4 linked regions of the Medicago truncatula genome follow. The main gene of each other region encodes a partner of the protein of the gene in region 4 in a complex. Links are inferred from orthologs where the notes say so. Each region holds a gene or a part of one and is shown on either strand. Other genes may lie near its edges. The genes, in order: rps8; 30S ribosomal protein S31, chloroplastic; 30S ribosomal protein S6 alpha, chloroplastic; 30S ribosomal protein S17, chloroplastic.

Region 1 (6,248 bases), on a different chromosome or scaffold from region 4:
CTGAAATATATGGATATATCCATTTCCTATCAAAAAAGAATTCTTTACTCTTGTTTAACTAGTTATTCTATTGTATTCTATAATTCGATTAATATAGAATACAATTTTTGAAATCAAGCAATAATTAGAATACTTATAATTATCAACTAAATTCTAATATAGAATCTAAATGTTTAGATTTTTTTGTTTACTATTTAAGAAAATGGAATATTAATAAGATTTTTTATTTGAATTTTAATATCATTTTTTTTTTTTTTGTACATTTGGTACTTTCTTTTTAATAGAAAGCCCTTTTTTTGTTAAAATATTATCCTTGTCTTTGTTTATGTTTTGGGTTGGAACAAATTACTATAATTCGACCTCGCCTGCGTATCAATCGACATTTTTCACAAATTTTACGAACAGAGGCTCCTACTTTCATATTTTTAAATTAACTCCTTAACTAAAATGGAATGCCAAATCTATATATTCGAAGAAAATAGGTTTTCCTTACATTTTTAACTTATAATTGTGCCTCCTAAAAAACATGTTTAAAGTTAAAAAATTAAATTAAGTGACTTATACTTCCTTTTTCTCCTTTACCGGTCGTATACATTAAGTACGTTCAATTTTTTTGTAAACATAGCCTAGAATTTTATTTAAATTCTATTTCTCTAACATGGAACATACCCTCAGAAGTTATTCAGTAATTTAATCTTCATGAATTTTTATTTCTATTCTAGTTAAATCCTCTTCACACATTCACTAAGGTATCAGGAGTACATAGTAGAAATCCATTTTTTCTCTACTCCATTTACAATAATGTATATAATTTTTTCATAGAAATCGGATATCGGCAAATTTACCATTACCATATATAACATAAAACTTCGCCGCCGATTCTTTCTAATCGAGCCTCTCGATCTGTCATTATACCCCTAGAAGTAGAAAGAATTACAATCCCCATTCCTCCTAAAACTCTCGGAATTTGTTGATAGTTAGAATAGATTCGTAGACCAGGTGTACTGATCCTTTTTAAATTTAAAAAAGTTTTATACGATTCTTTCCTATTTCTTCTATACCGTAGAGTTAAAACTAAAAAGTATTTGTTGCTTTCTCCATGTTTTCTAACGTTTTCAACAAAACCCTCTCGTAAAAGTATTTTCACAATGTTTTCGGTGATATTAGTAAGTGGTATTTGAACCGTTCTTTTTCGATTCATGTCAGCATTGCGTATCAAAGTTAGCATATCAGCGATAGTATCTTTACCCACGATAGATTATTGCTCCTTACTTTCGATATAATAAACGTGCTCCTGTTTTTTGTTTTTTTTTTTTTTTTTGATTCAATAAAATATCATATATTGAATATGAGAATATAATAATACTATATATAGATAGAAAATTCTAATTAGTCTAATCAGTATAATGTAAATCTATAATATAGAATATTCTAAAACTAAAAAAAGATAGAAAGAAAATGAATGAATGACCTATTATAAATTATAAACTAGATAGATAATATTATATCGAATTCAGAATTCTATTTGTATTTTGTATAAAGTATAAAAAAAAAATACAAATAGAATTCTGAATTCGAATTTGTATTTTGAATCTATCTATATCTATATATATATTCAATATATATATAGATTTCATTCCTTTTTCTTTTTTTTTTTTCATCTATTATTATTATTTCGTTTTAAAAATATTTATTAATTAATATAATGACTTACTATTTCTAATAACTTATCGATATGTATACTTTTCATATTTATGTAATAATCTTAATATAAATATTCATAATTATAGAATAATGATTACACAAGTATATAAGGTATATATGTGAGATCTAATATATTTAGGACTCTATTTCACTTCTATTCAAATATATATTCAAATAGATTTCCTTCCTATTCATTCCAGTCCTAAATAATATATCTATATCACGATCTCGTATTATAATACCTCGGGTGCTAATGAAACTATTTTAGTGAAATTTAACTGTCTCAATTCTCGGGCTATTGCGGAAAAAATTCGAGTTCCTTTTGGATTTCCTTCTTTATCAATGAGAACCGCCGCATTATCATCATACTTTATTATTATACCATTACTACGTTTTAGTTCTTTACAAGTACGTACAATTACAGCCCTGATCACTTCAGATCTTTCTAAAGATGAATTTGGTACTGCTTTTTTGATTACAGCAACAACAATGTCACCAATATAAGCATACCGTCGATTACTAGCTCCTATGATTCGAATACACATCAATTCGCGGGCTCCGCTATTATCGGCTACATTTAAATAGGTTTGAGGTTGAATCATATCATTTTTTTCTATCTTTCAGTCAAAAAGTTGAAGTAAAAAAAATATTCTGTGTTCAAAAAAAAAAAAAAAGAAACCAACAATTACCATTTTTTTCATACTAAAGACCTATTTCGTTCTAATGATTATTCTGAAAGAATGAATTGAGTTCGTATAGGCATTTTGGATGCCGCTATTGAAATAGCCTTTCTAGCTATATTTTCTGGGACCCCTCCCATTTCATAAAGTATTTTGCCGGGTTTAACGACAGCTACCCAATATTCGGGAGATCCTTTTCCCGAACCCATACGCGTTTCGGTAGGTCTTACTGTAACAGGTTTGTCTGGAAATATGCGTACCCATATTTTCCCACCTCGGCGAACATTTCGTGACATTGCCCGTCGCCCTGCTTCTATTTGTCTAGATGTGATCCAAGCGGGCTCAAGTGCCTGAAGAGCATATTTTCCGAAGGAAATTGTATTACCTCGATAGGCTTTTCCTTTCATTCTTCCTCGATGTTGTTTACGGAATCTGGTTCTTTTGGGGTTATAGTTGATGGTTATTTCTCAATTCCATCTCTATTACAGAACCGTACATGAGATTTTCACCTCATACGGCTCCTCGCGAATAAATCGATTCAAAAATATTTAACCAAAAAAAATTTAATTTTAAATTACAATATTAAATTTAAAATAGAATACAATCGCGGGATTTTTTGACATATTAGAAATTTGTATATCTTGCTTTGATATAGAACCAAATATGGATTCTTATAGACCATTTTTGCTATCCATATCTAACTAGATAATGTTGTTTTGATATAAGGTTCTAACGAATCCATATTTGTCTTTTTTTTTTTTTATTATCATATTGGCAAAAATTTCTAAATTCAAAAAAATCCACATTTTCGCGGGCGAATATTTACTCTTTCATTATAAATTTAAGATGTAATGTTGGGTTAGTCCACAACTCCTCAAAAAATAATGAATTCTTAGTTCCGTCCGCCATCCCATCTAATGAATCAGTAAGATTATGAAATTTAATATAATCTTAGGTATTCACAGGTTCCATCGTTCCCATCGCTTTTCTATTTATGGTTAGGTCTAAATTCTACAATGGAGCCTCTTTAATATTAATAAGATTTTATTTTCATAAAATTTTCTTATTTATTTTATTCTTTTTTGTTGAATCAACCTTCTCAGTTTTATTGATTCGCAGCTCTTGATTTGTCTATTCTACGAATATATTCATCCATATATGGATGAATTTAGAATATTGATGCTTTATTACACTACCTTTTACGAAATGACCCATAGACCTTTACATAGTCGAATTCTATATCATTGATATCTTTTTTTCTATCTTTCTTTCACCCCTTCATTTATCTGTATATTCTTATTGCTTTACAACTAATAATCAGATTCTTTTTTATTTCAGTTGCTATAATTATATCACCACATAGATCTTTATTTTGATTTTCTATTTTCCGCGGTTCTTTATATCCAGATAATGGTAAGCGATGAGTAGGTTATTAATTCTTTAGTAATTAATTCTACGAATTCTTGTAGAAATTTAACCACTCTAAAAAAAACCAACGAGTCACACACTAAGCATAGCAACTCCTTTACTATAAAATGATTAATCAATTTTTTTATTCAATCTTATAAAATTTGTCATTTCTTTTTTGGGAATAAGAATTCGTCATTTTTTCTTTTATCAAAAGATGGAACGCTAAAAATAAGGAAAAGTAAATTAGTCGTTGTTTAGAAATATCCAAACTTTGATTCCTAATACCCCATAAATAGTTCGAACTGGATAGGAACAATAATCAATTTTAGCTCGAATGGTTTGTAGAGGAACCCTACCTTCTCTAATCCATTCGACACGTGCAATTTCTTTTCCGTCGATACGTCCCGCAATTTGTACTTGAACTCCTTTTGTACCTGCCTGTTCAGCTAATTCAATAGCTTTTTTGATTGCTTTCCTAAACGAAATTCTATTCTTTAATTGTCCAGCTATAAATTCTGCAAGAATATTAGGGTCGCTATAAGCATTTGGAATTCTTGTACTTGTAATGTTAATTTTTCGCGTCACACAATTAAGTTTTTTTTGTACATTAGTCTGTAATTCTTCGATTCTTCGAGGCTTACCCTCCGTTAATAACGTTGGAAGTACCATATAGATTATGACTTGAATCTGATCGATTGTTTTTTTAATCTTTATTCGTCCAATTCCCTCGACACCGGGGGTTTTTTGTATATAATTCTTGATACAATCTCGTATTATTTTATCTTCTTTTAGATTCTCGGAATAATTTCTTGGTTGTGCAAACCAAATAGAATCATGATTTTGAGTTGTACCAAGTCTGAAACCAAGCGGATGTATTTTTTGTCCCATAATTCCTCACTACTCTATATAAAATAATACGTCTTATTTGTCTACTTTTTTATCTATATCTTTTTTTTTACTTTTTTTATATAAAAAATATTATATATCTTTATGACTCATTGACTTAGTTCGTTGAACTATATATTGTGACTAGCATTTTCTCCTGCAGAATAAAGCAATTCAAAAAAAAAAAATAGAATAATATGCTCAACTCCATAAAGCATAATTTCTATTATAATAACCCTTTAAAAATAGAAATATTATGAATTACGATTCGCGCTTTGTCTTGTGAATAGACACAAATATTTTTTGACCAAAGGCTTATACTTCTATGTATTGGTTCTTCTTTCTCCTAAGGTTATATTTTCACGAAAAAATGAAATGAGTTTATTAATTAATATTTATTTATTAATGACTATTAGTATACTAAATTTACCTTAAAATTAATGTTAACGATTCGATCTATTATCATTTTTCGCATACCCCCGGAAGTTTAGAGTAGGTGAAAATTCTCCCAACTTATGGCCTACCATACGATCTGTTATATAAATAGGTAAATGCTCTTTTCCATTATGGATAGCAATGGTATGGCCAATCATTGTAGGTATAATGGTAGATGTTCTGGACCAAGTTATTATTATTTCTTTTTCTCCTTTTGTGTTAAGCTTATTTATTTTTTTTAATAAATGATTTGCTACAAAAGGATTTTTTTTTCGTGAACGTGTCATAGTTAATTATTCCTCTTATAATTTCTAAAAAAGTGAATTTTTTCTCTTATATTTTAAAAAATAAAATTATATAATCTCTAAAAAAACAAAATCAAATCATATAATGTCATAGTAAATCACTCTTTTCTTTTGTAAAGACGAAGAAACAAATTCTATTTTCTCTACTCTAGACTATTTACTACGGCGACGAAGAATCAAATTATCACTATATTTATTTTTTTTTCTACTTCTTCTTCCAAGTGCAGGATAACCCCAAGGAGTTGAGGGTTTTTTTCTACCAATCGGGGCCCTCCCTTCACCACCACCATGTGGATGGTCTACAGGGTTCATAACTACTCCTCTTACTACAGGACGCTTACCTAACCAACGTTTAGCTCCGGCTCTGCCCAAACTTTTTTGGTTTACTCCAACATTCCCTACTTGTCCTACTGTTGCTGAGCAGTTTTTTGATATCAAACGGACCTCTCCAGAAGGTAATTTTAATGTTGCCGATTTCCCCTCTTTTGCAATCAGTTTCGCTACAGCACCAGCCGCTCTAGCTAATTGTCCACCCTTTCCAAGTGTTATTTCTATGTTATGTATGGCCGTGCCTAAGGGCATATCGGTTGAAGTAGATTCTTCTTTTTGATCAATCAAAACCCCTTCCCAAACTGTACAAGCTTCTTCCAAAGCATACGGCTTTCTGGATGTAGATTATGATATCTATACAGCTGGATCTTATATATATATTGTATAATTCTTATATTATGACATAACGAAGTACCACATGAGTGGGTATATAATATAGGAATCTAAATCTGCCAAATCAGTCATGTTATGATATTCTACATCCTAGGTCTTTCTGTTC
Region 2 (6,512 bases), on a different chromosome or scaffold from region 4:
GCAAAAGTATAACATTTTTGTGGTAATGGTTGTTGAGACGAAAAATGGGAATTTCAATGTGATTTGAGCAAAAGCACACTCTGGCTTCAAATATTGTTATGAACTTCCAAACCGAAACACAAATTCAAACCAAAGCTCGAATCTTTGCAAACCAGCATTATCCAGTTCAAATAACAAAGACAGATATGTGTCTCTTCTCTTCATAAACAATAACAAACTTATACTATCCTAATATCATTAGATGACAAACAACAGGAAGAAGATGAAGCTAACAAAGACGATAAAAACAGATGCAACAATTTCTGGTGCATTTAAATCTGCCTGATCTTTTCCTTTCGATCTTCAATGGTAATAAACTAGTCGGTATCTTCATCTCTCTTCTAAGTTGTTTAACTCTAACATGTCTAAAAGTATTCTAAGAAGACAGTAACAACCAAAGTCTTGGGTTGACAACATGAATCAAACAACACCATAAAAGTATAATGCAAATAATGAAAAACCATGCAACATATGCCCGAAATTGAGCGCATAAGAGTGACTGTGTAACAACAGCATACACGTTGCAGAAGCAAAGGTTTAATTCAACAAACATGACCTTTCCAACATTTTTGGATTCTATCACTCTACCAACGTTCCTAACCATTTTTTCCCATAGGAAACTTTTGTTTGGTTGTTAGACATCTACAACAGCACAGATCCTAAGGAGAAAAATCCACGACATCGAGGTTTTTGATGTCTTCCCAACCACATCGCGACAAAAATTATGACCGAATTGGCAGTATTTGCCTACAACTTTTTCGCAAACTGTGACCAGGATTTTAAACCTCGACTATAAGAGTGTTTCCAATCCCACCCTCAATACGATATAGCAAGAGCTTACATAATAGAGACTAAAATAAGGTTGCAAAGTGAACTCAAATAAGGATAACAAGCAAAATCCAAATAGTATATGCCAAATGGAATCCATATGTCAAAAACTATAAATCATGAAACTCTCAAAATTACAGTGCAACACTAAAATCAACTAACTAGGAAAAAGGGATTCATTAATTTCAATCTCAATCACTTCCTTATCTTCAAGCTTCTCTTTCTTGGTAGCATCTGGTGGAGCATAAATCCTTGGTGGTCCTGTACCCTTGTTCTTGTTCCTCGGCCTTGCCTGATAACATCAAATAACATATTTTTCAAAATAACCTTGGAAGTATTCACCACAACATCCACTACAATTTCAACAAATATCCACGACAAATAATAAAGATTGAATATGTTTTCAGTGCTTTAATAATTTCGAATTTTGTTTTTAGGATCAGTATTAACCTTTCAATCCTACAAATTACTAAAATGTATGTTTTTAGTCCCTTTTTTAGGACAAAAAAATCGGTTCAATGACTAAAAACAAAAAATATAAATTATAAAGACTGAAAACACATTCAACACTAATAATTTAGCAAAACAAAAAGGGAAGAATTACTTTAATGTTAATATGAATCACATCCAAAAACAATTTTGATTCAAACAATTTCTTTTCTTAGTTGGGGTGCGTCAAAGAAATGGTATAGTGCCACTCAAAGCAACGCGCGAGAGGCAAGTATCGGTGGAATCTCCCCATCAAGAAATAAATTTAACATCATGCTTCATTGGCTCACATATCAAATATTAAACTGATACGACACTACACTTAATTCAATCAGTCAAACTATCCAAAATAATACTATGAATTAAGAATCACTTGTTAAGTCAAAATAAGATAAGATACTACACTTGATTCTTAAAAAAAAAAAATCACTTTTACAGCAATGTATGTGTAAAACATGATAAATTTAACATCATGCGTCAACAAGAAATAAATTTAACATCATGCGTCATTGGCTCACATATCAAATATTAAACTGATACGACACTACACTTAATTCAATCAGTCAAACTATCCAAAATAATACTATGAATTAAGAATCACTTGTTAATTCAAAATAAGATAAGATACTACACTTGATTCTTAAAAAAAATAAATCACTTTTACAGCAATGTATGTGTAAAACATGATAAATTTATGATAAAGTCACTTTTAACTAAAATCAATTCTAACAAAACTAATTCATGTTGGAACCAAACATACACTCAATAATTGAAATAAGTGGGGGAATTGGGAAAAAAGAACATTACATTTCCAAACGAATGGCTGAACCGTTTGCCCTTGGCAGTTTTCCTATCACCTCTGCCACAATACACTACAAGAAAACAAAAAAGAACCAAAATCAATAACTGGGTCATCAAAATTCAAATACAATAAGCCAAATTCACAACAAAATTTCCATTTTTTTTGGAGAAAAAAGTTACCAGAAGGGGTTGGTGAAAGAGACAAGGTTGAAGAGAGGGTAGGGAATGATGAAGTGATGAGTGGTGAGTGAAGAGATTGGGATTGAGAGAAGGAAAGGTGAGAAGAGGAAGCGTGGAGTTGAAGAGAGAGTGGAGAAGGTGATGCTAGAAGCAGTGATGATGCCATGGCCATAACTGAGAGGATAGATAACGAAGGCACTTTGATAAGGTTGGTTTGATTGAGGAATATATGTGCTGCGATTTTTTAGATCCAATGGTTTAGAATGAACATCTAATTAGTAAATTACATCAATGGTCAATTTTAAATATTGTCCATTTTTCATGAAATTTCAAATACTTGTCTTTTTTTTTCTTAATTGCACTTTTGCCCTCTTATATTTCCAAAACTTGCGATTTTAGCCCCCTAACTAATAAAAATACAAAACAGCCCCCTATGTATTGAATTTTTGGCAGTTTTGGCCCCCAAGACCACTTTTGACTTAGTCTTCGCTGACGTGACATCCACAATGGTCGACACGTGGCACCTCACTTAAGGGATGTGGATGCCACGTCAGCGAAGACTAAGTCAAAAGTGATCTTAGGGGCCAAAACTACCAAAGATCCAATACATAGGGGACTATTTTGTATTTTTATTAGTTAGGGGGCTAAAATCACAACTTTTGAAAAGATAAGAGACCGAAAGTGCAATTAAAACTTTTTTTTTTCTCTTCAAAATATATATTTTTTTAAAAGAAATATTAATTTTTTAACCAAAAATTAATTTGTTTAATTGAGATATTTTAATATTACTTTTCTTTTGAGCTTGAAACATATTTGGGAAAATTCTACAAAGAGAGAAGATTTCTCTTCTTTTTCTTCTTCAAACTCTTTACCGCAGCACACTTAGTCTTTTTCACTTTTTCCTTACAATCCAAAACTTTTTTGTTGAAATGTAGATCCTTTGACTGGTGGTGCAATCGCCCTCCACCGTCACGACATATGTTGGGTTCTTTCTTTATCGCGCTTTAATGATTGGTTCCTAATCTAAAATGGTGCCTTCGATATGAAGTTGGGTTCTCATCCGTATCTACGAATCTCGATGGCTTTGTTTGTTGCTAGTTCGCTCAACTTTTTAGCCGCCTTTGGTTCTTGTGTTTCTAAGTTCCTGGATTCTTTGTTCAATACGAATTAATTTTGCGTTGGATCTAATGTTAATTCATATATGGGCTTGTTGTTCATTGTCATTTGTTTTAGTGATCGCCATGTTGGTTTTCCTTGACCAATGTTGCGCGGATTGATGTCTATGTGAGTTAATGCTCACATGTGCTGCGTTTGAGTTATTGTTTTCTTAATTCGAGTACAATGTGTGTCATGTGTTTTGGGCTTGAAGTTGTTGATGCTTTGTCAAAATTCGTCACAGGTTTATTTAATTTTTTTTTCTTTGCAATTTGGTTTTGCACTTGTGTTGCAGGTATGTTGGGTTATGCAACAAGTGTATGATGCTTCGGGTTTGGATTATGTTGAACCATCAGTTATGGTGATTGTTCTTATCCCATTCAAGATCGTATTTTCTATTCATTACCCTTTAGGATAGGTTCGATACCATCTTTGTGTTGTATATTTGTTTGTCAGGGATGATTCGATCACTTTTGTGTGGGGGTGTGCATAAACCCTTGTCCTGCCTAAAACCCATCCAAACGTCAGCTTTATGGGGGAAACAGTCGGGTTTAAAAGCAAATCGAGTACACAATTATGGATTTCAACTTTTCAAGACTTCGATTATTACTTGTCTTGCCTTGAAACTATAATTTGACACAAACATTAATTTTTCTTTTAAACTTTCAACACGCAAACAATATTTTGTTCCACTTTTCTTTTATCTTTAAAGTTAAACAAACTGTATTACATTTTCAATTCTAAAAGAATTTCAATTTTCCATTCAAGTTTGGTTTTGTGTAAACCCTTTATTTTGAAGATTTCTTATTTCAACAAAATTTACTTGCTCTCTTACACTCAAGGTCGTCGCGAACATCCTCCACCATGTGACGAATGCTTACAATGGCTTTGCACATGTGCTACGATATATTGTCCACACAGAAGAAAAACTACCGATGCAATCTTAATCCTCTTCGAGTGGCGTCGACATGATGATGTCGGTGAACCACCTACTAACAACCGGTGTGGCTGTTTGAAACTTGAGAAAAGGAAAATGAGGATTTTCTATGGTCTCAACTGAAACAAACTTCCCAAGATACCCGTCACCCATCTTACCCGTCACCCGAATTACCTGTTGTCTCATTCGATCAAAAATGGTTTTGTTTCTGATCTCTTATCGACACTTTGGGGCCTGAATTTGACCGAAACTGTCTATTGCTCAGCCCTACTTTTGTGTGGTTATACTGGGTCGGGTTTTTGCCCCCAGTCTTTTGTACTCTTTTTTTAGTTAAATGAATTACTTTTCTTTTTCATAAAAAAATCTAATTTTTTTTAGAAGTTTTTGGATAGGATTTCAATCCACTAAAGTGAGTAAAGTGAAACTTTTATCAAAAAAATAACCTAGTTGTACTAGAAAATACTATAATTGTTCTTAGTTATTATTTACACCTAAAAATAAATAACTTGTTAGATAGAAATACAACTGAATGCAAGTTAGTCAAATATTTTATTAAGTCTACTTGGGTCCATAAAGGTTGTGCAATGTTAGAACTAGTCAAAGCTCAAGGGAACTTAAAAATTTAGGATCACTTGGATTCGGAAATTGAAGGCCGTAGAAACCCATAGAGGAGATGTCTGTAAATCAATGTCTTCTTCTCCCTTCTCTTTTAATTCTCGCAAACTATTATTTGATATATGATAATTATTGATTAGGTAAATTGATACTTGATAAGTGAGTGAATAATTTGAAATTCCTTTGTGAACAAATTTTGTTAACCTAAATTGAGACTTCAATCATTTTGAATTGTTGATATGAACACTTCAATCTAATCATCATATATCAAATACTATTGTCTCCTGTGTTAGTTTTTGTTCTCATCCAATTAGGTTTGATTTAAGATTGGATTGTCTTTTATATCTTGATTGTGTATTAGTGATTGTTTGAATAGATATAATTCAAGTGTGAATTACTTGTTCAAATTTGAATTGTTATTTATATTAAAAAAAAAAATTTGAATTGTTATTTGTCATTGCATACTTTAGCAGTGTTTGGCATCACATTTTTTTTCACGGTGCACGCTACATAATGTCACTTTTACAGTGATTTTATGAAGCTGAAAATTCCAGATTTTGCCTAAAAGTGCTTTTTTGAGCTTTCCACCGGTATTCCAAACACATACTTTATATGATTGAAACGATTGTCAATTTCCAATATTCAAACTCAATTTCGTTTTTCAAAGAAAATCTCAAAACCATGTTTTTGTTGGGTAATCTATTCACCCCTCTAGATTATCGTTGTACATTTCACCAACATGCATCAGGTCACTTGATAAGTGTCAAATTACTGTTATTTTCTATAACACTTATCAACTTGTTTTGTAAGTAATTCAGTATAAAACCCCCAAATTTGATATAAATATCATTTATATTCGTAAATTGTGCCACAAAGATATTACTTCTATTTCCCATACATTTTTATAGGTTTTGAGCATGACTACACCAATACAGAGTAAAAGAAGGCAATCACACGCGCCAGAAGCCAAGTCAGAGCATCCCAAAGACATATGGTGAAAAACACGATCTCTAGGCGAGCTTGACATGGTGAAAGCGAGCCAAAACAATGAGTTCCAAAAGGAAAAGCCAAATATGATTTGCTAGGCAAAATTGGATCCGCTAAGTGAACTAAGGCGGTTCAAGAAAATATCTAAAGACTGTTGGCTTTTCCCTCCTTTGAAGAAACCTTGATTTGCTAGGCAAGCTTGACTTCAAATGATAACCTGCACCTCTATTTGTAAGGGTTCTGAAATTCTAAAACCAAACCTAATAGAGAGGGATTCTGACTCTAAAATGGAGCTTGACTTCGGTATGCAAGGACATGTTTGCCTAGCGAATCTAATTTTTTTTTTCGAAAGTTAATTTTTTGCTTCAATTCGCTAAGCGATGTTTTGTGTGCCTAGCGAGGGAAGAAAAACCGAACATTCATAGAAATTAAAAATGTCCGCCCATTAACTCAACTTTATGTCATTCAACATACCATGGCT
Region 3 (6,886 bases), on a different chromosome or scaffold from region 4:
AAATTGCAAGCCAGCAACCTAAGCTAGCTAAAATCTAAATCTCTCTACAGAATTTAGCATTGTGTGTTGTGCAATTATGTTGATGGTAAATTGTATTTTTTATTTTTGTGTATTTTTTAAATGTGTGTAAGTTGTAGAAGTAGAAGATTTAAAGTAAATGACAGATAGAGATAAATACAAACGGTGTCATAAACGATTTTATATTTTGATATTCAAGTAACGAAGATGCATGCATTTTCGGCGTCACAATCAACATGCTAGTGGTAAAGTGCACATCTATACTACGGCAAAAATAAATATAAATTATTTCCATTTGCTATGTAGCAGTTCCCTCCTGCTACTGCTATGACTTTATCATCCGGTTGAAAACCAAGGAACTCCAGTCGCTTGTAAGGTAAATTTACAGGCCATTTGATCCATTCTCTTGTAATTTCTTTTTCTAATAACTTTTTGTAGAAATGCATTTCACCTTCTCAATTTATGAAATTAAGCAATATTATTCTCCAATTCATCACTAGTCATTGTAAACTTTCTTCCTAATATGATTTAAGATAACAAAATGAACTTCTACCTCTAAATATGAAAATTTAGACTTGATATGTGAACAACCGAATGGCAAATTGGCTAATATATAGCACTTTGTACTAGGTGTTATAACTCTGCAGACTGCCAGTAATAGCACCTACATCTCTCTTTTAGTTTAATCCAACCTTGTTACAAAAATACTTGAATCCATATGAAAATGAAAGAAAACATACCACAACAACAAATGATGATTGTTACATTCTTTTTTTCAGAGCTACTGGAGATGCCAAAATAAACTAACATTTCCTTTTTCTGATTTTGAAGCTTGTTGATCGGATAACATTATCATCCCTCAATAATGTTTGCTCAAGGGCGGTTATGGACTCAGGCTTCGTGAAGTAGGTGAATAGGAGGTAGATGCCATCCATATACGTGTTGGTTTCTCCTTCCTTGTTTTTCTTCTGGATGTTATATGCTAGTGGAATAACACCTCTGTTAAAAACCTCTACATACATGCCACCTCCAGCAACAAGAAGCTGCACGAAGGAAAATCGTTAGGATTAGTGTTTTATTCCAATTAGAAAAGAACAAAGCCTATCTGCCTATGTTTTCAGAAGAACAAAGCAGAGAAATGAAATGAAATGACTGTGTAAAGTGTTTGTTTTGAAAGAATGGAAACAAGGTAACAAATCAAACAAACATAGTGAATGCAAATAAAATAATCACTGAATCATGTAGTTAGTATTGGTGTGATACAGAATTATACTGATTCATGTACAGACAGCCCTTAGCAATTGTATGTTTGTTGATACGAATTCTCAGTTTGCGGATTGATTGCAATTCTAACAAATACGGTCGCCTCTAGTATAGTATCACACACATATATAAAACCTACTCATCATCAAGCTTCAAATGGATTAACTTAAGAAACAAAAGGTAAGAGAAAGAAGTAAAAAGGTTAAGAATTTGACCTCCTCGTACTTCTGGGTGAGTGCAAGACGCTCATCCTCAGACATGTCAGGCCTCAAAACAACCATGGTTTCGTACTGTCTGAGTCCAGGTGGACATTGCGGTTCTTCTTTCTCTTCCACAGCAGTGAACCCGGTTCCGGGAGTAACCGGGTCATCACCCGAACCAAATCCACCTTCAAAGAAAGAACCAGAGAAGTCTAGGGTTTGTGATTTAATGGAAAAGTTGTTCCTGTTTTGGTGAAAGTGGGAAATTGATTCAGGAAATGCACGAAATGGTGAACATGTGTGAGGAGTGCAGAGATAAGAAGAAGATGAGAGTGGAATTGAATTGAGTAAAGAGGATGCCATTGATGCTTCTGCTTAGGAGAAGAAGAAGATGAACTGTTAGCGAAAGAACGGATAAAAAAAAGATAGAGTCAGATAAGGCCAACTCAGTGCGTGCACACAGCGCAGTGTAGAATTCACTCGGTATAAGAAAAATTAATTAATTTTTTTTATGAAAGAAAGAAAAATTAATTTTAAATAAATTGATTCTGTAAATTTGATTTTGATTTGTTTTGTCAATAACTCGTCTAAAAGGAATAGGCCACAAGAGATGTAGGGTTCAAAATCTTACCATACCCTGTTTTACAAGATTGACATGTTGAGCTGTCAATGTTTTTTTAAAAAATATTAATTAAAAATTTCACATAAATAGTGTAAAAATATATAAACTTAAGTCAATTTAAGGAAATCTAAATGTATAATGACTCCTCTATAAATATGAAAATAATTCAAACATATAAATTGCATCATCTAAATAAAAATCAATAATAAATCAATAAGACATTCAAAATAAAAATTTCATGAGTTATCAATTGATTAATCGTAAAAAATATGAGGCTAAAATCATGAAACAATTTAGTAATCAATTGACTAACCGTTAAAAATATGAGGCTAAAATCATGAAACAAAAGTGATAAATAAATTGAACTTTTTTCCCCAATATAGGAGGAGAAAATTGAAAAATTAATTATGAGTTGTGACTTTTATATAAATAAAAAGAAGTAAAAAAGAGAGTTTGTTTTTAAATGTTAATCTAACGGGCCAACCCACCCCACCTCATCACCGCCCCATTTTTTAGTTGATTAGGCGGAGCGAACACCCCACGTAGCTGGTTCAAAATCCCAACTCAGCTCGCTAAAAAATGTGGGTTAAACAGGTTCAACCCATTTTATCATCCCTAATTAAAATTGAGTTGAAGTTTTTTTTTTAGGAAAAAATTGAGTTGAAGTTAAAATAATTTCTATTTAGATATTTTCTGCTAATTTATATTTTTATTATATTGAGAATATTATCATGAATTTTATATATAACAATTCTCCAAATTATCATTCAAACAATATAGTTTACCAAAATGATTTTAATTCATCCAAAAAGTATCATTGTTGGGCTACCTTTATGAATTCTATTTTTTTGGGCCAATTAACAGATTTCAAAATTTGTAAGGGGGTCAAACTATAATTTTGAAAAATTTTGAGGGGTCAATTGTCGTTTTAAAAAAAAATCAGCCCAATTTGCAACTTTTTTTGAAATTTTTCAGGGGATAATTTCAAAATTTTGAAAAATATGGGGATCAACTTGCAAAATTTGAAAAATAAAATATAAGAAGGAAGAAATTTGAAATTTCCTTGCTTTTGGACATTTGAAATTCTCTAAATTTAATTTTTTTTTTTGTGGGGTCCGAGGTTTGAACCTCGGACCTTGCATATATTATGCATTGTCCTTACCAACTGAGCTAAATTCACGGGGATTCTCTAAATTTAATTTAATACTTTATAAATAAACATAAGGGATCAAACATGCAATTATGCCAAATAAAAATAAAAGTGAATGGCAAGATGCAAAGGAGTGTTGCTTGGCCACTGAACCATCATAGCTCTCCATCCTTTTTTCATTTCTAATATAGACAAATAGTAATCAAATTTAGCTGACTGTCTAGACGCTGGCCTGCGCGAAACAACAGAGAACAACACACATCAGCTCATGTATTTGGAAATTGATGGGAAATGTTTCTTCTGCCATTTCAATCTTATATGATTATGTTGTATAAGGTATATGCCAAATGCCAAAAGGTTGCAGTAGGAACATAAAAACATCTAGGATGGCATCCTGCCTTAAGTGATGAGGAAAAAATAAATGCATTACCGGTCAAAATCCAAGGTCAAAGCTTGGGAACGCTTCTCTTTCACTCGAGATATCCTCGGCACTCTGTCCTTCATTGGAAATAGGGCAAGAAGAATCGCCACCCGGACTTGATAATAATAAGTCAAAATTTGCATCACTGATATTTTCCTGAGCTTCCTTTTCTGAGTAAGGCTACATATACAATTTCAAAACCAAGTATATAAATTTGAGACAGCTGATGATTTTTCAGTATATAGAAAACAAACAAAATTCATAGAGCAAAAGTCTTTTTCTCCCGTTGCCAAACAACGCGCCTTAGAGAAGTTCTCAGCTATATGGAAAGCATGAAACTAATGCCATAGAAATCACATGAACATTCTGCATTCTAGCTGCCACTATTATCATTACAATCCGACTAATTGTACTCTTGGCCACTTGTTAAAAAAATTAAGAAATAGAAAGTAGAATAATGCTAGCAACACATTTTCCAACACAATTTGATTGGTCAATATTCATATGGAACCCACATGATATGGTGGGAACCATGTGAATTTTAACCAATCAAAGAGTGTGTTGCTAGCACCATTCTAGAAAGTCACTTAATAGGTCTTAACTTTTTGTTTAATACTTTTAAAAAAATCTCAATCAATCCTCTAAGAAAGAATTAATATTTGCCTTATGACGTCTAATCCACAACAGAAAGCAATGATATGAAATGGCATCTTGAGTAAATGCAAACAGATAGAGAGTAGACCTGGTGGGACATTTTGACATTCCCCGTGAACTGGAAATTACCATCTACACATGTTGCTGCAGAACCCAAATTAAGTAATGTTAACGGGGCTACTAACATCACAAAAATCAACAAGAATAGCTAATAAGATTTTCCCAAAATAAAAATAAAAGACCAAGAAATCAAATAAATCCGTCATGACTTGCCTTTGGTAGATGTAGTGCTAATATCAGGGGGTTTCATAGTCTCTGTTGATTCCCTATCCATAATATTTTGATATGATCTACTGGGAGACCGGCTACCTATAGAAATCCAACATAGTCACGAAATTATGACCTAAAGAGAGCTCGATATCTAACTAGGTTATGTGTCTAACCTGCGACATAACATTCATGAGGCTTAGGGTCTTGTAAAAAGGACAATATTTGATTGGCTGCACAAAAACCAGAAATCAGTCAATGTTCATGAAGTAACAAACAAATAGTGAATTGACATATTGAGATCAGCAATGTTGATGAAGAGCCCCATGTTATATCAGAGGCATTACATGCCTGTGTTTTTTTGTCGCAGAATGATCGGTGTGATCCAATTTTACTTTAGTAAGCTCGTAATTTATCTTATGTTAGAGGGTAAAAGTATAGTATTGCCAAGTTATATTTTGATATTTTCCCTCAATATGTAAAATTAGAGATGCCTGCCGGCATGAGTATGGAACTCAATCAAGGCCAGAGGTACGGACCGTCACGTATAGGCTTGACTGCTTCGACTGTCTTGTTTGATTTTATTACATCTATCTTGGCAAATGGAGAGTTCAAGCCTGTTTCTCGCCGAAGACAAGGCCGGCTCAGAGGTTGTTCTGCATGATATAAGCCATAAGCAGATGAGAGTACTAAAAAATCAAAACCTGTCCAAAGCTCACTCGTGCTTCCTACTAAAGAGGGGAGAAAGAAGTAAACGAGGGAGATTAGAATCGAGGCCAGAGGTACAAAGTACGAACCATCATGTAAAGGCTTGACTACGGGGACTGTATTGTTTGCTTTTATTTCTTCTATCACTGCAAAATGAGAGATCAAGCCTGCACCTTGACGAAGACAAGGCCTGCTCGAAGGTTGTCCTGCAATATATAACCAATAAACACATGAGAGTGAAAAATCAAAACCTGTCGACATCTCATTGACATGCTTCCTGCTCATGGATATAAGAGTACACCATGATGTAGGCCTGCAGGTACGAAGTACGAACCATCATGTAAAGGCTTGACTACTGGGACTGTCTTGTTTGCTTTTAACTCTTCTATCACTGCAAAATGAGAGTTTAAGCCTGCACCTTGCCGAAGACAGGGCCTGCTTGAAGGTTGTCCTGCATGGTATTAACCATAAACAGGCGAGAGTGAAAAATCAAAACCTATCCACATCTCATTTGAGACAAGCTTCCTGCTCATGGTTATCACTACTTATCAGGGTGCACCCAATACCAATAGCACGACGCCTTTAGTTTCTTTTCATGTAACAAGTTAATTTCACTTGACTATCCAATATTTTGATGAGAATTGGTTGGAACATGCAAGAAAAAAATTGTTGAAACTTGAATCATGTGATTCAAATTGTTGATAATTTTATTTTTCATGGCAGTGATAATAAATTATTAATCACATTGATTCATGCATGTATAGCACATTTGAAGTTGTTTGTGATTCATCACATGAAACCAATAAGTAAATTGCTACCTCTTATCAAATCATGCTATTCAAATAGTCTTTTATTTCTAGAGACAGATTAGGTGCTTTTTATCTTAGCTTCTTTGTCTCTTGCGATTTCACTGATTTTAAGGAGGTTTTTTTCTCTATTTCTAAATGATTATTATTTAATATTTATTCTTTTGCATTCAATTTCTGAGATAGATGGGTGTCATTAATGGGTAACAATGAAAAGACAAGACAGAAGCTTATAAAAAACACATGAAAACTAAATGAGCAAAAGGACTATGTGAGGTCAACGGAAATTTCTGAGCTTCTTTTTTTTTGGGTGGTTATAATACAACGGGAATATGTAAGTTCAAAACAATCAAAAGACATGCAAAGAAGTACAGAATCGCACAACAATACAATGACTTAGAGAAACTTCTGAATAACCAAGGACTAACCTTTAGCAGTAGACGGATGGAGCTCGCGGCAAACCTTTTGTACATGTCTTTGTTGTGTCTTAACAACATTTTCACCACCACTCCCTAGTTCACTCAACTTCACTGGAGATTGATGACTTCCCTCAGGTTCTCCAACATCAACTAAATGTCCAGCAAAATATACTAAGGAACCAGCTTTTATAACTTCGTCTTTCTTTAGAAACCTACGTTCTAAAGGTCTTTTGCTCAAATCATACAGTATGACCTGGAAAGAGAACATTAAAAGGAAAATATCTAATAAATTAAACACTATGCCAAGATAACATGCGTCTATGTTTAAATAAGCTCTAGTGTTGTTAAAAAAAATTGA
Region 4 (5,693 bases):
ATTCTTCCACAAATCGGCTTAAAAAACTCATCAAACATTATTTTAGTAAAATATAGATGTTTGATGACTTTCAAGCAAATTTATTTGACATTTGAATCCCATTTCAATTGGAAGTGATAGAACATAGTTTTTTCATGAGATATTTCTAACTTAGAGTAAAAACACTTTAAGTAAATAAATCATTTTCCTTTAAAGCCAATTTTGGTCAGATTAATTACAAACTCTAAGATAATTCAAAATCACATTTGTTAAACACTCACCCAAACACACGATCAACACCCAACCTACAGCTAAGAATTCGGGCTCTCTGCAATCAGAGTATCTATATCCTGACATGTGATGTAGAATGGACAATTCAAGAGCACTCCTCTTTGGAGGAGGATACTCCTGCTCCCGCCGGCACTTATGATCGCAGGCGTATGATGTGTCCGACACAACCCCAACACATGTGATTACATTGAATTGTGTCAATGTGTCAGTGTTGCGTCTGGTGTCCGTGTTTGTGTGTCGCGCTTCATACTATTAAAAATCTATTAAGCCCATTTGGATTGACTTATTTTTTAGCTTATGAAAAATAGTTTATGCAAATAAGCTTTATTAAAATTGTATCTTCATAAGTTGTTTTTTCATAAGCTACCTAAACAAGTTTATGAATAATACATAAAAGTTTATTTATTTGTATAAACTGTTTTGCTTGCATATGCTCAAAAATAAATCAACCCAAACGAGCCCTTCATCAAACACATATCCATTACACTAAACAATAAAATTCTCAACATAATTACACAACCATAGCAATTTCACAATTGAGGGTTTATCATAAACCACATCCAACATTTCAACAAACACCCACAAAGCAACATTAATCAAATAATAATTTTTCATAATAACAATAACAAATTAACAGCAACAACAATAACAACATCAATTTCTCAATTCCAATTTCATCATATTAGTACAAAAAATAAAAACACAACAAATTAAAGAGTGAGAGAGACTGCAAAACTAAGCCTGAGTCTGAGGCTGTTCTTCTTGCTCCGATTGAAGCGGAATGTCGAGGTCACCGGAAGAATTATTAGCCTTACCAGAATTCCTAGCAGGAACAGGAACAGCAAGAAAAGTCTTATTCTTACTAATAGGTCTAATTTTACAAAGCTGAACAACATCACCAACTTTGAAAACGTTTTCAGGATCATGAGCCTGATACTTCTTCTTCATCCTAATACGTTTCTTGTATTTGGGATGAGGTGCTAAACGAGTAACTTCCACCGACACTGTTTTGTCGTTGGTAGCGCACACAACTTTTCCTTCCATTGTTTTCATAGCTTTGATTGATGGAAGGGATTGGGGTTGGGATAGAGAGAGTGTGGATGTGGGCTTTGAGAGACGGGTGAGGGCGACGCCATTGTTGCCGTTGAGGAATGGTGTTGAGAGCGTGCTGGGAAGTTGCAGAAGCCACATTGTTGTGTTGTGTTGTGTTGTGTTGTGAAGAGATAAGAAGAAGATAAAACTAAATCTTTTATAGTGATTCATTCTCTTTATTTCTTTTATTTTATGCCTTACTTGTATTAAACTTTTATTGGCCAATTTTACCCTTCAATAACTATTAAAATAAGAAGTTGATTTAATAAATCATATAACTGATTCATTAAAAATAGGCTAAAATATGGTTTTAGTCCCTGCAAATATGCCTCGTTTTGGTTTTAGTCCTTGGTAAAAAAAAAATTTGTTTTTGGTCCCTGCAAAATGTTTTGTTTTTGAAAATAGTCCCTTGCAAGGACCTTTTTTAAAAACAAAATATTTTGCAGAGACCAAAAACTACAAAATTGGTTCAGTGATAATATGCCACGTATGCAAATCATCACAAAAGTGGGGTCAGGGACTATTTTCAAAAACAAAAAATTTTGCAGGGACCAAAAACAAATTTTTTTTTTACCAGGGACTAAAACCAAAACGAAGCATATTTGCAGGAACTAAAACCATATTTTAGCCTTAAAAATATGAAGAAACAAAGTACAAAAGATAACAAATCGAATCTATAATGATGTATGGATGATTGATACGTTCAAATATCAAGATAATTATCTAGGTAAAATCCTAAAAGTATAAAGAAGTGATTCTCTCAAATCTCTTCGATGAGACAGATTAGTCACTTTGTATACAAAGATATACAAGAGATACTTGTACTTTATCATATGTATCCTCACAACGGTTGTATATTTTGTTGTAGGTGGCATTTAACCTGGGAATGGATACTTCTTTCCCACCATGGGAAAGGTTCATTTCCCAGTACAGGTGGCTGTCTCAAACCTGTTCAAAAATATAAAAAAAAATGAAAATTAAATTAGTTTTTTAATCCTTTTTTGTTTTTTCTGGTACATTTGCTAATGTATAACACAGATGAATTTCATAACACAAATTACCTCACTCAATAATAATGTTTAAACTCATTTCATTCAACATTCATCATGTTTCCTTATAATTCCGGGACAGTAGAGGCTTGGTGTTGTTGTTGTTATTTGGTTTTTGCGGTACCATGACTTTAGGGTCTCGTGCTACTGTTCTTAGGTTTCTTCTCCCATTTGATATTGCTATAATTAGGGACTGTTATTGGCACTTGTAATGTTTCTTCTCTCCTATTATGCATAGCTTGTGCAGTGAGTGTTTGTTAATGATACGTTTGTTTAAAAATAAAAAAAAGGGTTAAGTTACGGTAATAAGGGGATGATACTTTTATTGAATTTCAAAATCTGGAAATACAAATTCTTAAAAAATGAATGAATAAAAATGAAAATGAAGATGATGATTTTAGGTTGTTGTTGTTATCATTGAGGAACCATGGATCTTGATGATGAAGAGTGGATATAGGATATTTAGTGATGATGGTGAAGAATGATGAAGAGTAGATCTATGATTTTGATTGTTATTTTTTGAGTTTTAATTTCTTACTGTTTTTTTTTTTCCTTCTCTTTCTGAGTTTGATGTTGATTAATGTATGAAGATGATGATGAAGGTAGAAAAGAGGAGGGTGGAAGAAGAGGAAGAATGGTGAAAAAAATTAATTAAAAAAAACAATAAATCAATAAAACAAATGATAAATTGTTATTTCATCAATGGTGGGTCGTTTTTTTTGGTCCACCATGTAACCATCAAAAAGTTACAACAATTACCAAGTCATAGATCTAAGCCACCCAAATAAAAAACTATTAAATCAATGGTTGTGGTTAAACTTTCCCATGATAGGAAAGAACTTCCCTTTTCCATATTAAACTTCACCCTTGTTGTATTCTCCAACAATAGGATTCTAGAACTTATATAAACAAAACCTACTCGCGTCGAGAGAGTTGTTGTTGTTGCTATCATCACTTATGTTTCAATCACCATATCATTTTATGTGAAGATCAACAATTAGTGTTCAAAACACCCCACCTAAAAGAAAAAAGCTTATATTATTATTTAAAAAATAAATCTAGTTAAAGCCAATAACATGATTTAGGAACTTTGTGAAACGTCCTCTCGAGTGAGAATTGTCTAGATCATTTGTAAATCAATCAAGAAGATAGAAGTACTCTTGAATTGAGACATGATTTTTATGTAATATCCTCTCTTAGATAGTTATCATCCTAGAATGATTTTGTATTAGTCATATACGAACTCAAACCCCACTTTACTTTGCACCCATTTTACTATACTGCACAGACCTTAAAGACCAGACCTCACTTGGTGTGAGATGACGGATAGACTTAACTAAGTCATAACCATTGTTGGTAACTCATATGGTTATGCAACCGGGTAAGTGATATGATCAACGTGGTTGGAAAACCGGATAAATGATGTGGTTATCATGGTTGGTAACATGGTAAATGATAGGGGTGATGGATTTTGACAAGATTGATGCTTCGTGAAATATTGGGGTGGATAACTCTTGAGGAGATTATAGTTAAAGAAGTCTCTCTTGTTGAGATGACAAAATCACTATGGATAAGGTGGACTAGCTATCAGATTGACAGTGAACAAGGATGAATTTGGTGTATCCTCTCTCTCAATGCATATGTCGAGTTCTTTATAGTTTAACTTCACATTGTCTCTTTAGTTTTAAAATAAAGTATTTTAATAGATAAAAGAATTATTGTGTTCAACTTTTAGTAAACAAGTCGACTTAATAGAAATGGTTAAATTAAAAAGAAAAAAAATCGGCAACACGATTCAATCTCCCCTCTCTTGTGTTCTTTACCCACCTTCAAATGTGATCACCATAGATCATTGAAATTGAACTGACTTTCTATCTCTGTTAACAAAATCATATGTTGACGTACTTCTTTATACATCATAAGTTAGTATTGTAAGATTCACTTCTCTATACATCATAAGTTAGTATTGTAAGATTCAAATTTGAATGAGAACTTCTCATTCTATTCGCAAAACATAGGTTGAGGTTTTTTTCATTTTTATTCTTCTCCGAGAGTATATAAAAAAAAGAGTAATGATATTTGAACAACCTTTTAGTGACAACTTTTGTGACAACCTACCTTTTCTCTCTTTTTATTGGTCAAAAACAATAGAGAGAGAGAGAAAAAAAAAAAAAGGGAAGAGAGAGAATAAGAAGATAATGTGATTATGAGAGAAGGTTGTACAAAAGTTGTCATAAAATGGATGTACAAATATCATTTATCTAAAAAAAAAATGTTAACGAGTGTCATCGGAATACTTTTTAAACACCTTTAATAATAAGTTTTTATAAAAATCTATATAATTAATGCATTAGAATTTGTAACATTTGATTTTTTTTAAAGAATATTTTTAAAATTTGGGATCTCCCCAAGACACTCGTTAACAAAATCCATAAAAAAACTAAGTGGGAATTGTTTTTAAAAGACAAGATTTTCATGATTTTTTTTTTGTCAATCCATGGTTTTAAAATAAAAAGTAAATTGTTGAACAGGAGCTTCAATTTTCAAAATTTAAAAAGAAGTGGATATTGAATCTGAAACACAAAACAAGTCAAACCATTTTACTTATATTTTCCAACAATGGGCACTGATACCACTTGAATATGTTGGAAAAACACGACAAAAGGGGATTTGAATTATGTTAATCATTTTAAAATCTTTTCGCAAAGACATGTGTTTAGTTAAACCATAGTCGTTTTTCAAATTAATTTTAACAACCACGTTAGTTCTTATTCAAATCATTTAACTCCATGTGCAATGCTTAGATAAAAAGGTGAAGTTAAATCACAAAGAAGCACTGCTTAGTAAGTTTTTGAATAAAAGAGAGTAAGAGAAATGAGATGACACAATATGTATATACTAGTTAATCATCCAACGATAGCTAGTCCAACCCATCCCATGAGATGCACTTAATACACTACAGATTGGAATGACAGTTGAATCTCTTGTCCCACAAAATATACCCACTTGAAGAAAAACTTAAAATTAGGATGGAATTTTGGGTCAAAAATATTTTATGTCGCAAAATCATTTATTTGGGACAAAATAATTTATGTCGCAACATAGTCCATTGTTCTCACGATTTCTATTCTATATTGGTAAAATTGATCGGACCCTATTACCCACTTCATCCCAAAAACCTTTTAAGTTATTCTCATGTTTGAAGACTTTTGTTAAATCTCATAGATCCATGGAAAATACTTGTCTAGGCATACTAAATTTAGGCACACATACATAATTGAG

Evidence for each region.
Region 1: 30S ribosomal protein S17, chloroplastic (region 4) and rps8 share a complex: the UniProt entries of both Arabidopsis thaliana proteins name them as parts of the 30S ribosomal subunit. The link is inferred for Medicago truncatula from reciprocal best matches to the Arabidopsis thaliana genes RPS17 and rps8.
Region 2: 30S ribosomal protein S17, chloroplastic (region 4) and 30S ribosomal protein S31, chloroplastic share a complex: the UniProt entries of both Arabidopsis thaliana proteins name them as parts of the 30S ribosomal subunit. The link is inferred for Medicago truncatula from reciprocal best matches to the Arabidopsis thaliana genes RPS17 and PSRP4.
Region 3: 30S ribosomal protein S17, chloroplastic (region 4) and 30S ribosomal protein S6 alpha, chloroplastic share a complex: the UniProt entries of both Arabidopsis thaliana proteins name them as parts of the 30S ribosomal subunit. The link is inferred for Medicago truncatula from reciprocal best matches to the Arabidopsis thaliana genes RPS17 and AT1G64510.

What each region holds. Positions count from the first base shown.
Region 1 is NC_003119.8:40,732-46,979, reverse strand, and holds rps8 (ribosomal protein S8), read right to left. Parts: upstream 1,253-6,248; coding exon 848-1,252; downstream 1-847. Other genes in the region: rpl36 (ribosomal protein L36), read right to left, coding at 308-421; rpl14 (ribosomal protein L14), read right to left, coding at 1,938-2,306; rpl16 (ribosomal protein L16), read right to left, coding at 2,432-2,842, 3,891-3,899; rps3 (ribosomal protein S3), read right to left, coding at 4,038-4,682; rps19 (ribosomal protein S19), read right to left, coding at 5,123-5,401; rpl2 (ribosomal protein L2), read right to left, coding at 5,573-6,001. UniProt on the Arabidopsis thaliana protein: One of the primary rRNA binding proteins, it binds directly to 16S rRNA central domain where it helps coordinate assembly of the platform of the 30S subunit.
Region 2 is NC_053045.1:4,921,420-4,927,931, reverse strand, and holds 30S ribosomal protein S31, chloroplastic, read right to left. Parts: upstream 2,558-6,512; 5' UTR 2,510-2,557; coding exon 2,338-2,509; intron 2,229-2,337; coding exon 2,164-2,228; intron 1,160-2,163; coding exon 1,025-1,159; 3' UTR 897-1,024; downstream 1-896.
Region 3 is NC_053049.1:46,338,469-46,345,354, forward strand, and holds 30S ribosomal protein S6 alpha, chloroplastic, read right to left. Parts: upstream 1,952-6,886; 5' UTR 1,845-1,951; coding exon 1,497-1,844; intron 1,062-1,496; coding exon 822-1,061; 3' UTR 602-821; downstream 1-601. Other genes in the region: uncharacterized protein, read right to left, coding at 3,687-3,854, 4,417-4,472, 4,602-4,697, 4,772-4,828, 5,135-5,251, 5,393-5,509, 5,638-5,754, 6,538-6,781. UniProt on the Arabidopsis thaliana protein: Binds together with bS18 to 16S ribosomal RNA.
Region 4 is NC_053043.1:49,901,065-49,906,757, forward strand, and holds 30S ribosomal protein S17, chloroplastic, read right to left. Parts: upstream 1,501-5,693; 5' UTR 1,462-1,500; coding exon 1,006-1,461; 3' UTR 733-1,005; downstream 1-732. UniProt on the Arabidopsis thaliana protein: One of the primary rRNA binding proteins, it binds specifically to the 5'-end of 16S ribosomal RNA. Required for optimal plastid performance in terms of photosynthesis and growth. Required for the translation of plastid mRNAs.